Linked DNA regions of Saccharomyces cerevisiae S288C. The protein of the gene in region 1 interacts with the protein of each later gene in a biochemical or structural test. Each region holds a gene or a part of one and is shown on either strand. Other genes may lie near its edges.

The links. The genes of interacting proteins can lie anywhere in the genome.
Region 2: the proteins of INO2 (region 1) and OPI1 form a complex in vitro, tested with the Saccharomyces cerevisiae proteins (2 studies listed by BioGRID).

What each region holds. Positions count from the first base shown.
Region 1 is NC_001136.10:695,327-703,129, forward strand, and holds INO2 (Ino2p), read right to left. Parts: upstream 4,143-7,803; coding exon 3,228-4,142; downstream 1-3,227. Other genes in the region: serine/threonine protein kinase KIN1, read left to right, coding at 1-2,568; YDR124W (uncharacterized protein), read left to right, coding at 4,989-5,963; ECM18 (alpha/beta hydrolase family protein), read right to left, coding at 6,071-7,432. UniProt on the Saccharomyces cerevisiae protein: Positive regulatory factor required for depression of the coregulated phospholipid biosynthetic enzymes. Also involved in the expression of ITR1.
Region 2 is NC_001140.6:62,600-70,981, forward strand, and holds OPI1 (transcriptional regulator OPI1), read right to left. Parts: upstream 4,858-8,382; coding exon 3,643-4,857; downstream 1-3,642. Other genes in the region: SPO11 (DNA topoisomerase (ATP-hydrolyzing)), read right to left, coding at 362-1,558; AIM17 (Aim17p), read right to left, coding at 1,863-3,260; APM2 (Apm2p), read right to left, coding at 5,132-6,949; MCO14 (4a-hydroxytetrahydrobiopterin dehydratase), read left to right, coding at 7,109-7,471; YHL017W (uncharacterized protein), read left to right, coding at 7,677-8,382. UniProt on the Saccharomyces cerevisiae protein: Negative regulator of the transcriptional complex INO2-INO4 in response to phospholipid precursor availability.

The DNA of each region.
Region 1 (7,803 bases):
TTTGAGATGTGCACGTTGTCAAATCATTTCTATATGTTGTTTGAATATGTTTCAGGTGGTCAGCTGTTAGACTATATCATCCAACATGGGTCAATACGAGAACACCAAGCGAGAAAGTTTGCTAGGGGTATCGCGAGCGCCTTAATATATTTGCATGCTAACAACATCGTCCATAGAGATTTGAAGATAGAAAATATAATGATTTCAGATTCCAGTGAAATCAAGATAATTGATTTTGGACTTTCAAATATTTATGATTCTAGGAAGCAGCTTCATACATTCTGTGGCTCTCTGTATTTTGCCGCTCCCGAGCTGTTAAAAGCGAATCCTTATACAGGACCTGAAGTAGATGTCTGGTCATTTGGTGTAGTTTTATTTGTTTTGGTATGCGGTAAAGTGCCATTTGACGACGAAAATTCGAGCGTTTTACATGAAAAGATCAAGCAAGGTAAGGTTGAATATCCCCAACATTTATCTATCGAAGTAATATCACTGTTATCCAAAATGTTGGTAGTAGATCCGAAAAGAAGAGCCACACTTAAACAGGTTGTGGAGCACCACTGGATGGTAAGAGGGTTCAATGGTCCCCCTCCTTCTTACTTACCGAAAAGAGTTCCCCTAACTATCGAAATGCTTGATATAAATGTCTTAAAAGAAATGTACCGTTTAGAATTTATTGACGATGTAGAGGAAACAAGAAGTGTTTTGGTCAGTATAATCACAGATCCTACTTACGTTCTTCTCTCTAGACAATACTGGACTTTAGCGGCCAAAATGAACGCAGAATCCAGTGATAACGGAAACGCGCCAAACATAACAGAGAGTTTTGAAGACCCAACTCGGGCATATCATCCAATGATTTCCATATATTACTTGACTTCTGAGATGCTTGATAGGAAACATGCGAAAATTCGGAATCAACAACAGCGACAGAGCCACGAAAATATAGAAAAGCTTTCTGAAATACCGGAAAGTGTGAAGCAAAGGGACGTAGAGGTCAATACAACCGCTATGAAATCAGAGCCAGAAGCCACGTTGGCGACAAAAGATACCTCTGTGCCATTCACTCCAAAGAATAGCGATGGCACAGAGCCCCCCTTACATGTCTTAATTCCACCGAGGTTAGCAATGCCAGAACAAGCGCATACGTCACCAACGAGTAGAAAAAGTTCTGATAATCAACGCCGTGAAATGGAATATGCTCTCTCTCCAACTCCTCAGGGAAATGACTATCAACAATTTAGGGTACCTTCAACTACTGGCGATCCCTCAGAAAAGGCGAAGTTTGGGAATATATTTAGAAAATTATCACAGCGCCGTAAAAAGACCATTGAACAGACATCTGTTAATAGTAATAATAGTATCAATAAACCTGTGCAAAAGACGCATTCTCGCGCTGTTTCAGACTTTGTCCCTGGTTTTGCTAAACCGAGTTATGATTCAAATTATACCATGAATGAGCCTGTCAAGACAAACGATAGCAGAGGTGGCAATAAAGGTGACTTTCCAGCATTGCCTGCGGATGCAGAAAATATGGTAGAGAAGCAAAGGGAGAAGCAAATTGAAGAAGATATAATGAAATTGCATGATATTAATAAACAGAATAATGAAGTTGCAAAAGGAAGCGGGCGGGAAGCTTACGCTGCACAGAAGTTTGAAGGAAGCGACGACGACGAGAATCATCCCTTACCACCTCTCAATGTTGCAAAAGGTCGAAAACTACATCCAAGCGCAAGAGCTAAATCAGTTGGTCATGCTCGTCGTGAATCACTCAAATATATGAGACCCCCAATGCCTTCATCTGCCTATCCTCAGCAAGAGCTTATAGATACTGGGTTCTTAGAATCAAGTGACGATAACAAATCCGATAGTTTGGGAAATGTTACTTCACAGACGAATGATAGCGTCAGCGTGCATTCTGTGAACGCACACATAAACTCGCCATCTGTGGAGAAGGAATTAACAGATGAAGAGATATTGCAGGAAGCTTCTAGAGCTCCAGCCGGTTCTATGCCATCCATCGATTTCCCCCGTTCTTTATTTTTGAAGGGTTTCTTTTCTGTTCAGACAACTTCATCGAAGCCTTTGCCAATTGTTAGATACAAGATTATGTTTGTTCTGAGGAAAATGAATATAGAGTTCAAGGAGGTTAAGGGTGGTTTTGTTTGTATGCAAAGGTTCTCTTCCAATAATGTGGCAGCGAAGAGAGAAGGGACTCCAAGATCGATCATGCCACTTTCGCACCACGAATCCATTAGACGTCAAGGCTCTAATAAATACTCACCTTCTTCTCCTTTGACAACTAATTCCATTCACCAGAGAAAAACATCTATTACCGAAACCTATGGAGATGATAAGCATTCGGGAACATCTTTGGAGAACATCCACCAACAAGGTGACGGTAGCGAAGGCATGACTACAACAGAAAAAGAGCCCATCAAATTCGAAATTCATATCGTCAAGGTTCGTATTGTTGGTTTAGCCGGTGTGCATTTTAAGAAAATTTCTGGGAACACTTGGTTGTATAAAGAGCTGGCTTCTAGTATATTAAAAGAACTAAAGTTGTAAGTAACACGTTCCCTGAGAAACCACAGCTTACATTTTTGATATTCGAAAACAAGAATATCCGTTCGATAGAAATTTATATATATATATAGATTCTTTTTATTCTCTTTTGGAAAGAAGAAATAGAATGGACCTAAGCAGACACTCAGCAGTTAATATTTTCGTCCCTTAATTGGTATTATTTATAAATAAATGGCACGTACTTTATGTGTAAAGCAGTTCATCATCGATTGATGGAGAGAATTTGTATACGTAGAGCGATCATTGCACCGTTTACCAGGACAGGATTCATATGGATGTAATAGGACTATTACTTCACTGAATCAATACAACTCGTAACGGTCATATAACTGCGAGTTTGTACGCAGTTATTCTGTTTGTGAAGACAGATTATACTTCGCCGTTGAAAGATTTCTTTACTTCACCATCATTGCCTCCGGATTCTCTTAACTTCTAAATAAAATGAAGATACTGGTAATTCTTGTCCGCAAAAATCTACGCTACACTCTGGAAAGAAACGAGATTTTCTACCGTCTGGTTTATAATGAATATATTTACATGACCAGCTTTGCAATCATATGATATTTTCGCCCATGTATACGAAATTAACTAAAAATACATCCAACGGGAGGCCATTTTCATCACTAATAGCTTGTATGAGCTCAGGAATCATCCAGTATGTGCTGTAGTGCTTCATTTGCGCTTCTAATGGACTTGATATCGTTCATTACACAAGTTAAAAGAATATGCTTGGGAATTCTTTTCCCGTTTTCCTTCGGTGGGGTCCTTACTGATTTAATGAGCCTTTCAAAGGCTTCTTTGGTGTTTATTCTTCGTATCTTCTCCATTTGAACGTGTTTCCATTTCCGTACCTTCACAGGGTCGTCCTCGATATTGGCTGGAATATCAGAGTCTGGGATTCGTATCTCAGGTACTGAAAACGGTGGCGGGTTGTAGTGGTCATTGCCGATAGGCTGATGAGGTCCTTCCCTCGTGGTGAACTCAGTTGGCACATCTGCTGTGTTTGTGGGTAACTCCCCTGTGTTACTGTGTGGATGTGTTTCAGGATATCTTTGATTTAATTCGGTATACCTATGCTGCTTTTTTGGTGATCTTATATGTAGATGTGATTCGGAGTTCATGGAAGCGTTGGAAGACATCATATCCTGTGATATTAGATTGTCTAAAAACTGTTCAATGGCATTCGATTCATTCGTGCTCAACAACCCCGAACTGGAAGGAGACAACTTGAGACCAAGCGCTTGATCAAAACCCATGCTTGGTTGATGAGGGTTGTGATTTAGATAGTGTGCATGAGTATGCAAAGGAGCATGATGAGTTTGGTTATCGGCAGGTATAGTTTCTACGTGAGAGGGTTGCACGGTTGCTACGTTAGGAATTATGCCGAGCTCGTGTGTTAACAGAGGAGGGGAAGTTGCACTAAACGTGTTTTCATGTATGTGCGCAGACATTTGGTCGTCGAAGTTACTGCTGAGCATTTGGTAAGCAGTTTCAAAGTCTATATCGTTATCCAGATCTAGGATACCCAGTAATTCGTTCCCAGTTGCTTGTTGCATTTTCTCCTTTGCTGTTCCATGTATTTATTTATTGCACGTCAACGAGATGGAACCGAACCAATTTCGAATTGCTTATGACGCCAAATACTGATTACAATAAGATATGATGAGATGAGCCTTTAATCACTGAAAAAAATTCACATGTGTGTTGTACTTGGACAGGTGTCAACGCCCTGCCGATGACGGAGGGAGATAGAAAACCGGCGAATTTTTTACCTCCTGCTGAAAAAAGGTTAGGTTGGTTCCATCTGCCGCACTATGGAGGGTGATTCAACGGAAAAGGCGCAGGAAGTGCAGTAGTGACCGGCAAGCAGCATGTTGAAAGACATTGTTGGGAAATCCTGTTTGAGTCCTGGTGTGTCTTCATTCTCCTACCATTTGTAGCTGGCGTAGATTTGGTTTGAGTGTGGTTGGTTAATTCATATTAAGCGTTGAGATTATAATAATAGAAATAATGGAAGAGGCACTCGATCCATATTATCAAGGATTCAAAGTAACTCAGATCTGCAGTAAAGGAGAGATGCGACTGAGAACAAATTCCTTTGCAATGGCATCGGCAATGGCACAATATGGAACTTTTTCTTGTACTGTTGAAAAACAGCACGCTGCAGTTGCATCAGGGTTGTTTTAAGTTGTTGTAGTAATCTCGCGACCTGAGACATCCTTGAAGCGGTGCCTGCGAAGTCTTAGTGAAGAGTTTAAGATTAGAAGTATATAGCATCGAAGGGATGGCCCAACTGAAGCAGGTTCCTCTGCTTGTTTCTCAGCTTATATAAAGGATGGATTGCGTATGTATACATGTGCATTTGTGCGTACGTCATTTTTCGATAGAGTCAGCTTAAGTACATGCGTATAGGTATGGAAGAGCTTAGAAGGGCGCTGGCGCTGCTAAATGGTCAAGGATATGAGTTTATGGTGTTCATAAAGGAAAAAGACCATTTAATAAGTGAGTCAATTCCAAAAAACTTGTTCTCAGAGAGTTTTATATCATCTTCAATTGAAAAAAACCCTCCACTCACGTTCGATCCATTGGTAAATAGGAAAAGAATAACTGTTTATGAAGAAAATATCCAACCAGCGATCATGCTACCCTTAGATCAACCCCTACTAATACAGAATTATCTGTATACGGCTTTTAAATTATTAAGACAGGTCCCATGCAAGGCGATTGCTAAGTTGTGGATAAAAATTATTGAGCCAAGGAAGAAAACCAGGTTTCCATACATTAAAGGCAATGCTGGAAGGCCGGAATGGTGGCCAAAAGATGTAGAACATAAAGAGCCGGACCACCTCCAGAAAGCGGATCGACTGAAATTGATGTGCACGATAATTATGAATGTTCTACCGCAATCTCCCTTCAGCCTTGAGATTTTGGACGAGCTTACAGGAGTGACCGCCGCAATGACCATTTTTAAGAAAGAAACTGTGAAGAAAGTAATCATGAAAAATGTTTTCGAAATTGCGAAATGCTTGTGCAACAAAGATTTCAAGCAGAAGACCATATCACTTGATGATTTAAATGACCTAGCCCAAAAACAGAAAAAATCATACCATAGTCGTCGATTTGATGTAAATAAAATGGTTAAGGTAGAAAAAGATTTGTTACAACAGTCAAGTGGAAGCGATTCTTCACCCTCGATGATCCTTCCTTCAAAAGAAAGTGACACAGAGTATTTCCCCAGGGAATATCCGAAAGACCCTGTATCGGAGGATTATTCGAATAGCATATCTCGATTAGAAAATTTAGTGGAATTTGATCCGTTATTCCTCACTAAATTGGATGAATTAACTAGTAGCGATGATTGTAAAGATTTTATTTGAGAAAAATTTCAAAGCAAAGAAAAGAGGTGTGAGGAGCGCAAAAGCAAAAAGGGGGATAGCATACATTAACACATTTTTTGGCTCTTTGCTACTTGATTTGGTTGCTATCAAGGCGATTTAGTTTCGTCTGATAAGAAGGACACTATAGATTGGTTGAATGATTCTGGGTTATCTAAAAAAAGATTGTGACCGGAAGAAGGTATTTCTAAATAACTTGCTCCTTCTAGACAGTTCTTTAAATTGTTCAACTCTTTGACCATGAACATACCGGCTTTTTTATTCATCCAATCATATTGCCCATATACTATCAATAATTTCTTAACATTTAAATATTGCAGAGAATCCATCAAGGGGTCCTTTGCTAGGATACATCTTGAAAATAACGCTTTGAAAATATCTGTCGTAACCTCCGGTATACCTCCCTTACCGTAAAACAGTTCAAATATGTACTCTTTGTATGCCAACGATGGGACTCGGCTATATGCCGCCATTATGTAATTCCAACATAACTTAGCTCCTAATGGTCCCATCATTCTCAAAATGTGAAATTGTTGTTCAAATAAGTATTTTGGAATCATATTTCTTTTGGAGTAAAACTTGGAATTTGGATTTTTAAAATCGATAGTATAAAGAGTGTTGGAGTGGAAATTATTATTTACAGACCAGATATTCCTTTCCACTCCTAGTGGGGATACCAAGCAAAGTTTGTTTACCGAGTTTGGATATTTAACAGCATATTTAAAAGATAAATATCCGCCAAAAGAATGCCCCACAACATTCATTTTGCCCAATTTGTTATCAATGCGCCATTGCTCGATTCTGTCGAGATAGAAATCTTCGTACATTTGAATCACAAATTTATTGTGATTTGCATTTATTGTATATGGAACCTTAAATTTATTTTCTCCAATAAATTTGATATCTAACGGCAGAGGTGTTGTTGTATTGATCTCTAAAGACGGTACTGAAGACAATCCGCTCGCTGGCATGTCAATTGAGTATAAATTTCGGATGTGCTTGGACAGACCTGGATAATTTCTGAAAAAAGACATTGAAGATGCGGCATAGCCATGTATCAGCAATGTTGGTGTTCGAACAGTACTTGTGTTTTCATTTTGGAAATGCCATTGATTTATTTCGTTGAATAACTTATCATTCTTTTTAATACCTTCAACGTGTACCTCTTCCATAATACGTCTCTGTAATTCCTCCAGCCGCATATAAGTTTTGTGTGGGTTATTCAAATGGCTTGACCATAGCTTGAATCCAGATTTTTTGACAGCATTTTCCTCCTTGGGTCTAAGAATCCTTTCCAAAATTTTTCTCTGGAGACTCTTTTCACGACGTTTAACTTCCAGTAGGCTTCTATTACTGTGGAACGCTCTCTTCCACATGTAACATTTATATACATTCATTATCTGCCTCCTTAAACTTTCAGGGTCCATCAAGTACCTCTTTATTAAAAGCATTTTTCATTCGCTCATCCTTAAACTGGAAAGGCATAAGGAAACTGTCAGAATATATAAATAGAGGTGTAAAACATGTGAAGCTCTGTGGAGTTCTAAGCTGGAATCGAAACAGTTGTCTCAATTTTAGTAATGTCCAAGGGCTTTCCAGGAGGTCAGTATATTCAAAGCCAAAATAATTAATGTTTTGGTCTGAATTTTTATTTTTCAAAAATGAGGTGAAAACCTCCAACGAAACTTTTTAATTAAAACCATCCGATACAGAATTTTAAATCATCTAAAGCATTTATTCGGCATTTTATCCTTGAATAACGTACTATGCAACTCATATAAATACTACAATATACTTTCTCTTTAGGAAATTCGTAGCTATC
Region 2 (8,382 bases), on another chromosome or scaffold:
CCTTTTTTTTTTGAATTTTCTTCACATTTCAATAGCTTATCTATGTTTAATGGTATTTCAAGATATCACAAGCGAAAAAGTTACTTAAGAAAAAAGACTAGTGATCCTTACATGGCTTATAACTCATTCACCATCGAATCATTGTAAAATCATATGCCATCTTAGTATAGTGGTTAGTACACATCGTTGTGGCCGATGAAACCCTGGTTCGATTCTAGGAGATGGCATTTATTTTTTTGAAATTGTATTTTTTTTTGGACTAGTATTCATTATCAAAGATTTCAATTTATATAATATTTAAATGTAACCGTTTTCAATTCTTGAAAAACATTTTTTATAAAGCAACAGCTCCCATTCTTATTCATTTGTATTCAAAAATTCTGGCATCAATCTCGTTCATTTCAGCTTTCTTTTGGAAAAAAATTTCCCGCTGACATTCTATGATGACGTTCTTTAATGGTGAAGTTGCAATATCCCAGCTGTTGGCAGTCAGAGATGCTATCAAATTCTTGGCTAAGGAGTAGTCGCGCTGATTCAAACTCAATAATTGAATGGATTTGTTATGCACTTCATTATTTTGTGCCAAAACTTGCGTAATACGAATTCCTTTATAGTTTGCCATCGTGCAAATATAAGCGTTGCGTTCATTCGAGTGAGTATAATTTAGGGCTATGCTAATCCCATAGGGGTCCGCATCGGTAAATATAGAACAGTCCGATATCAATTTGGAGCAATATTGTTCTAGTTTTTTTAGGAATAACCTTGTCAAGAAATCTGGAAATCCCTTACCTGTAATGAGCATGGTATTTGTACTCAACTTGTGATAATTATTTACTAATTTGGTGAAGACAGCTTCTTTTTCCACTATTACAATATTACACATACTTGTTGTCCCTAACTTGATGACCGCATCATCTTGGAAAAATGGAATTAGACAGGGCTTACCAGGGAAAATTGTTTGCTTTTGCATCTTTGGTTCATTTTCACATGTCAGAATATTGTCATAAATATCAATGGGGAAAGGCGAATAAACTAAACCCTTTTGAGCTGGTATAATGTTTAAGGATTTTCTTGGAGAGAGCTTGAAATTAAAGCGTATAACGTCCAGCCACTGGACTACGTTTGCTTGTCTTTGAAACAATTCCACGTTGGAGTAGAAGATATCTCTCACTGTAGTGTTTTTACCTAGCGGTAATTTTTCCATAACGACTTTCAATAAGTTTAAAAGGATTGCGCATCTTTTCAACTTGAACTGATGAGTGCATAGATGCGGGCCATTCAAAGGGAAGTCCAATGTTGTGTGAATGTCAGGACTGCTTGTATCGCCTTTTTTTTTTTTGTTTTGAAAGACGATTGAAATAGGCTGTTGATGTTGCTCTAATGAATTAGCCGCCAATGACAGGAAATGCTTAATATGAGCCAAAACATCTGCGTTTGAACAGGGAGTTCCGTTGGAGTGACCATTGGAGTTCAAGTGAATGGACCGTCTTTTAGGAGTGAGTGCTTTGACCAATTCCTGCCTTGTTTTATATTTTTTCCGCAATCCCTCCAAAGCCATGAGAAGGTGAACTTAGTAAATCGTAAAATCTTAAGGGTGAAGACAAATATGTGAGGTTATTTGAATGATATTTAGTTGGATATAATCACTAAATAAAGTAGATTTTCCTTGGGTAGTAGACTTTCTTTTACGTTATTCCTTTTATAATTTTAATTTTAGTTATTGATTTCAATGAAACAAAAGGAAACTGACGGCTTCTTAAAATAAATATATTTAACATGAAACATTAAAAAAAAAATTGTCACTACACAGAGAGAAAATAAATAAATATAAAGAATCACATAACTATGCTGAAAAAATGAAGTTATTTGTCATGAGGAAACTTCTCTTCCAAGAACTTTAATTTACTCTTGAAAGTATCAGAATCGAAATAGCAACCCTTTAACCATTGCTGGTTTGAGCTTGTTAAAGAGTTAGCATGCAAAATTCTCCTGTTGTTAAAGATAACACAACAGTTTTCGGGCAACTGCAATCTAAATTGATTGTTGAAGTCATTGATATGACTCTCGAACAAGTTCAACCCCCTAATGAAAGACTTAAACAAAAATCTCTCTGTTAGTTTTGCTGGGGTGGTAATTAAATTCAAGTCCAGATTATTATTTAGATCTGAGGGCTTATCATAAATTCCGAAAGTGAAAGGTGCTTGGTATGGTGGAGAGTAGTTAATGCATTTAATCAAGGCCTCATAATTACCCAGAAGAGTATTGTCCTCGTTAATGTCGTGATGTTCGATTAAAGGTTTGGATTGGTAGTACCTCTTATCGCCGTTTTCATATATATAATTTACAGGAACAATTTGTAAAGCCTCATAAGCCTCAAAATCCGATTCTCTAACATTACGGGTAGCATAAAATGCGTCCACGAAGTAATTCATGGGTCTAGTATTGGGATCTTCCCCTTCTGTAGCAGGTAGAGATTGTAGAATCTGGAAACCTGGCACATTTTCTAAAAATGGTAAATCCGTATGTAGCGGCAAGTCTTTATTGGCATAATGGGCATTAACACTTGTCGCTTGGGATGCATTCACGTCAAATGTACCTTCACCATGTACAGTCGATCTTATGGGTCCGATCCTTTCACAGATCTTTTGTATGGTAAGGCCTTCAGAGGAGGATGAAGGAGTACCGGAAATGAAAGCGATACCAAACTTTTGTAGGTTGACCAGCGTTTGGAAAAGCTTGGAGTCATCCTTAGGATCAATAAACTCGTTGTAGCTCACAGAAAGTAAGTCCTTGACGTTATCTTTCAGGATGCGCTTATTCCATAACTGGGGTCTATATCTGGATTCTTGTTTTCTTGTTGCTGGCGAAACAAAACTGGAACCTTTATAGTCGATAAAGAATTGTAAAGGGAACTGGTGATGACCGCCATCTTTCCATTTCACCACTAGAGATTTTCCGTCCTCAGAAATTTGAATGTCCTGAGGAGCGGTCAATTTCTCGTTATGATACAGTTCTCCCGTGGTCACCAGCTTGGCACTATGGGAGGCATCTCTAAGAAAAACGTTGTTAAAGCAAACGGAAACCGGCTTGCTGGACTCCTCCATGGAGAACGTAATTGTCGTAGAATCTCTATTGAAGTATGTTTTGATGATATGTCCCCGATTCGCAGCCGCAGCTGTCGCCGCAGATGTGTATGTCCTTGGTGTAGTGGTCAGTCTTGCAAGGATTCGAGATCCTCTGCATAAATTTGATCTTAGCATCTTGTGTTGGTAATTGGTTTCTAATAATTATTTTTTCTTTTTAACTTGGAATATGTTCCTGGCCAGTTGTGAAGAGTTACCCCTGATATTTGGATCTAGAAGGGCTTCTCCTTATATAGATAGCACTTTTCCTCGAGGATCAACCCCGGAAATGTATTCCCGACCCCCTTACGGCTGCGCAAAGGTCCTTACTGAGCCATTCAAAGGTAAAGAGGGTCCGATAATAATGGTAGTTCAAAAGGGGAGAAGCGGGGCTGGTACAATATCACGATTATGATTATGATTATGATTATGATTATGATTATGGATATTATATAAACTATATTATTCCGTATAATATTATTACTGGTGGTAATGCATGAAAGACCTCAATCTGTCTCGGTTAGTCCTTGCTATCCACGTTGTCCTGAGAGGGCTTTACGTAATTGCCATCCTTCTGCTGTTGCTGCCTGTACTGTTGCTGCTGTTGCAAGAAACGCTCCCTGATCATTTCTTTTACCTCCTGTTTCTGCTTCACCCATTCTTCAGCCTTGCCCAACGTGGAGTCGACTACGCCCATGACATTTCTCACCATTTCCAGGGATTCTTTGGCGAGAATGAGTACTTTCCCATTCGCAGTTACGGAGGAGGACGGCGAGGCTGAGTCGTCGCCATCCTTGTTCCTTTTTTGCTGTTGCTGTTGCAGGAGTTGCTGCTGCAAAAGTTGCTGCTGCTGCTGCTGTTGCTGTTGCTGTTGCTGTTGCTCCACTTTTTGTTCTTCACAGTTGGCATAATGAAACGAAGCATGATGCGGCAGTGATGTACTGTGGACGCTGTCGAACCAATTTGTGGGTAAGTTTAGAAGACTTTCCCGAACCTGAGATCTTGCGGGCTCCGGCAGCGAATTTGCTGTGAACTTCGATATCAGCGAGTAGACTTTCTTGACTGTGCCGACCACCTCCATTTTCACCACAATAGACTGCTCGCTGGCGTTGACCTGCTCTGAGGCATCAAAAAACTCCTCATCGTCGTCGTCTTCGTCTGACGATGTCTCGTCCTCGCCAGCTCCAGTGGTCGTCCTAGCATTTCCATCTTGCTTGTGCAAAGGATGCACCTGCTCCTTTTCAACAAGGTCCTGTAAACACGAGATTTTATCGGAAAGCTGCTTATTGGCCAGCTTTAAAAGATGCAAGCACGTTACAAGCCTCTTCTTAGACTCGATGGACATGTTCAGCTTGTACTCTTTCAAGTTGTCCTTCCCCTTGGCAATCGCCCGCGACAGCTTCTGTCTCTTGTTGGTGAAGAACTCATCGTCGTTGTAGTCGTAATCATCATGCTCGTCATCGTCATCGTCTAGCAGCCTCCCTATTGATTTCAGTGGCCTCTTGTTGGTGTTTATTTCATCGTAGAATGTCACTACGTTACTGATAATTTTGTTACTTACGCGATCCAAAATGTTTAGCGGCGTCGTAGACGACTCACTTGCCGGCATTTTGTCAGCTTGTGAGACGTCCTCTGAAGGCTGCGACTTCTGTCTGCATGATTGTTTCAACACCCCAAGTACTTCAGCCGCTTCTACCTCTTCCTCTGATAATCCTAAACGTTGATTTTCAGACATCAATGACTAGTATCTTCGTTAAAAACACTGTCCTGATACACACGCTTTAATCAGCACTGTAAACAAAATGCCACGTTCTGGCCTGATATGCTTTCTTGGCTAAGTGCAGATCGCTGTCTTGCTCCAATCCTCTTATTAATCCCTCTCATTGAGGTGGAAAAAAAAAAAATAAGAACGCCCGATTTTACCCGGTTGCATATGAAGATTATAAGGTGCCATCTATATACTAAAACGAACGTACCATTTGTCTATCTATGAGATGTCTGCGTAAGCGTCAAACAATATATGCGTACTCTTCGTCGCTGACGGTCTTGTATCTGACCCAGGGGAAAGACTGGTACTGCAATTGTGGCTCTTCGACCTTCAAGTACTCAACTTTCAGGCCACTGCATGTACAGTACGGAATCTCGAAATCAATGTTGACCAACTTATCTCGAGGAGTAACGTGGGAAGTTTGTTGGTCGTGCACTTGTCTATATAGTTCTTCCAGCCTGGGTCCCGTGCGCAAGGGCGGCGGATTCATTGAGGTTTTCATTTCTTCTTGCAGGCGGTCATATTCTTCCTGGTTGAAGAGGGGGAACTCTGCCACCATGGATGCACACGTATTTGGATCATCTTCGTCGCTGTTGTACTGTGAGCTCTTGTTTGTGCTATGTTCTCGGTGCCCCTTCATGGTTTGTATCTCCCAGAGGAGAAAATCGTCACTCAAGTTAAACACGACCTTGCCGATGTTTGCCTTGAATCTAATTTGCTTGCTGAGGTCTATTTTATATTCCTGGAAGACTTTTGTCAGGGGAATTCTCACGTTTAGCTTCGACGTTGAGTTGGTGGGTTTAAAATTTGTTTGAATTTTGGTTACAATTTGGATTTTAAACTTCTTCAGTTTAGGTTTGATTTCAAAATCTTTCAACCTCACCATCGGCGCATCCTTTACATGTCTCTTCAACTCGTATTGGCAAAGAACAAATTCGCCATCCGGCGGTATAAATTCGATTTCTCTTGCATCTGTGGCGGCCTGCAAACCAGCATCATCGTCACTATTCTTTTCTTCATCTTTTTCAATAGTGTTTATGGAATCTAGTGAAACACACTGATGAAAGCTGGAATTCGACATGAACTGGGGGTCCCTGTTCAGTATCTTGTTTATGGATATTTTCAGTTTGGGCATCCCTGATAAATAGCATCTGCACACAATCTCTCCATGTATCAGATTTTTCCTAATCACTCCTTTTTCAAAATCCATCAAGTACTGAACACGTTCAATAACATCAAGAAAGAACTCGTTTTTGGCGTAATGTATCCCCTTTGTTCTCCATGATATGGGCATTATAATCGTCTTCGCAATATCGCCATTGATGTATAAATCATTACCGTCATTGGGGAGCTCGTCATTAGCGGCTTCTTTACCGGTATCATTCTTGTTCCTTAGTGTCTCCTTGACAGTTTCCACCACGTTTATGCCCCTATTTTCTTTATTGTTTACCATTATACTTTTTAATTTACTTTTGCCCACGCTTTTCCCTTTAGTGCCCTTTTTCTTCTTCCTTTTCTTCTTCTTATCCTTCCTCTTATTAGTATTGCTGTACTCGCTATCGCTATCGCTACCGCTACTACTACTGCTCTCTTCACCAGGGCTCCACTCCTCATTGTCTACTGTAACTCTTGGTACGTTGACCTTCACACGAATGTAGTCCTTGATGATACTTGGATCCGTCACTTGTACGATACCAAAGTCTATACATTCATCAATCAACTCCAGGACAAGTAAGATGTTGTCCAGTATGACATTCTTAGTTAAGACCTCGATTTCAAAATATTTTTGTAAAAGATGATAAAATTGTTCCAAAAAGGCTAGTATAGTCATTAAGTCTATATTTGGTTTGTCTGTGGTATGTATCACTGAAACGAAATGCAGAAAGTCTCTCTTCAAATGTATAAAGAACCAATCGTTTTGGGAGAGAATTGGAGGCGACCCGTCATGATAACATTGTTTGAAACTTGAAAGAACCGACGATAGATTCGGTAGTGCTCTAATATTCTTCGATACCAATGGCTCCAGATTTTCATCCAGGATAAAAAGGCTTGACGACATGCCTTTCCTTCCTGATTTCCTCTTTACTATTTTTGGGTCCCTTTATTTGCTTTTTGTCCAAGGCATTCTCAATTTTCCAATCTGGAATTTAAGCCCTTCCAGTTATAAAACAGTAAACACAACCTACCAAAAGCAGAAAGAAACCAAAGTAAGAATACAATGCACAACAAGATTGTTAGAATCGCGTCCAGTGCACTCACAGGGGGCAAACTACTCGAGAAGCTAAAACCCTTGACCCGTTGGGAAGTTCAATGGGACCCTAATAAGACCAAATGTTTGGGAATAACAAGAGAGGTAACATTCAAGGACTACGAAACCACATGGGCCTTTTTGACTCGTGTATCGATGAGATCTCATCTATGGGGCCACCATCCCCTGATTCACACAAGTTACACCTGGGTCAAGCTGGAACTTCATACGCATGACATAGACCCGAAAGACGGGGCTCACAGCCAGCTTAGCGATATAGACGTCCGGATGGCCAAGAGAATAGATTCCTACATCGATGAGATGACAACTTGATAAGGCAGGGCAGGTCTAAAAGGCTATTGCTCTTTCCATTTTTTTTTTCCTATCGATTTTACTACTAGAAATTTTTGCTACCCATACCCATTCTCGCATTGCAACATGGAAAAACTGAAAATTGAAAAAAAAGGTATTGAAATTTCAACTGTATTGTGTAAATCATTTTTGGGCAAACTAGACACAATAACTAGCGAACAGAAAAATGGATAGAACGTGGCTATTACTGACGTGGCTGTTGCTACTCTGTGGGGTAGTTCAAGGGAACCAAGAAAGCATAAATCAAAAATATCACGATGTCTGTTCAGGGATGTATTCCAAGGAGGATTTCAATGGAAAAGTTGACCCCTATATATCGTTTACGTTGGAGGAATTGTCACTTGCTGATGAAGACGATGATGGCGAGGGGGTTAGTGTTGCTGTGTTTGATTTCCAAGATTATGAGCATATTGGTGTGCGGTTACCAAATGGAGAAATTCAGTATATTTGCGATGACTACGCATTGGATTTGGGCCTCTGTGAGGATTCGTCGGAGGGGCAATTTATCATTCAAGAGACAGCCATCGATCCGTTCACCAGTAAGGAACATAAGCTAACGAGTCAGATTTTGACTTTCACTCAACAAGAATTGGGCACTAACGACAAGGTATACTCAATTAACAAAACTGGTTACTATTGTGTGACCACGTCATCTTTCATTTCTTCCAGTTCCAAGTTTAAGGCTACAGTGAATTTTAGGAACGCTTACGGTCAATTGGACGCTTCAGAGGCGTACAAGATGCCTATTTATGCCTTTTTGGCCGTCGCTTATGCCGTCTGTACATTAGTGTACTCTTGGCTATGCTGGAAGCATAGACATGAGTTACTGCCTTTACAAAGGTACATTTTGGTATTTTGTATTTTCCTAACAG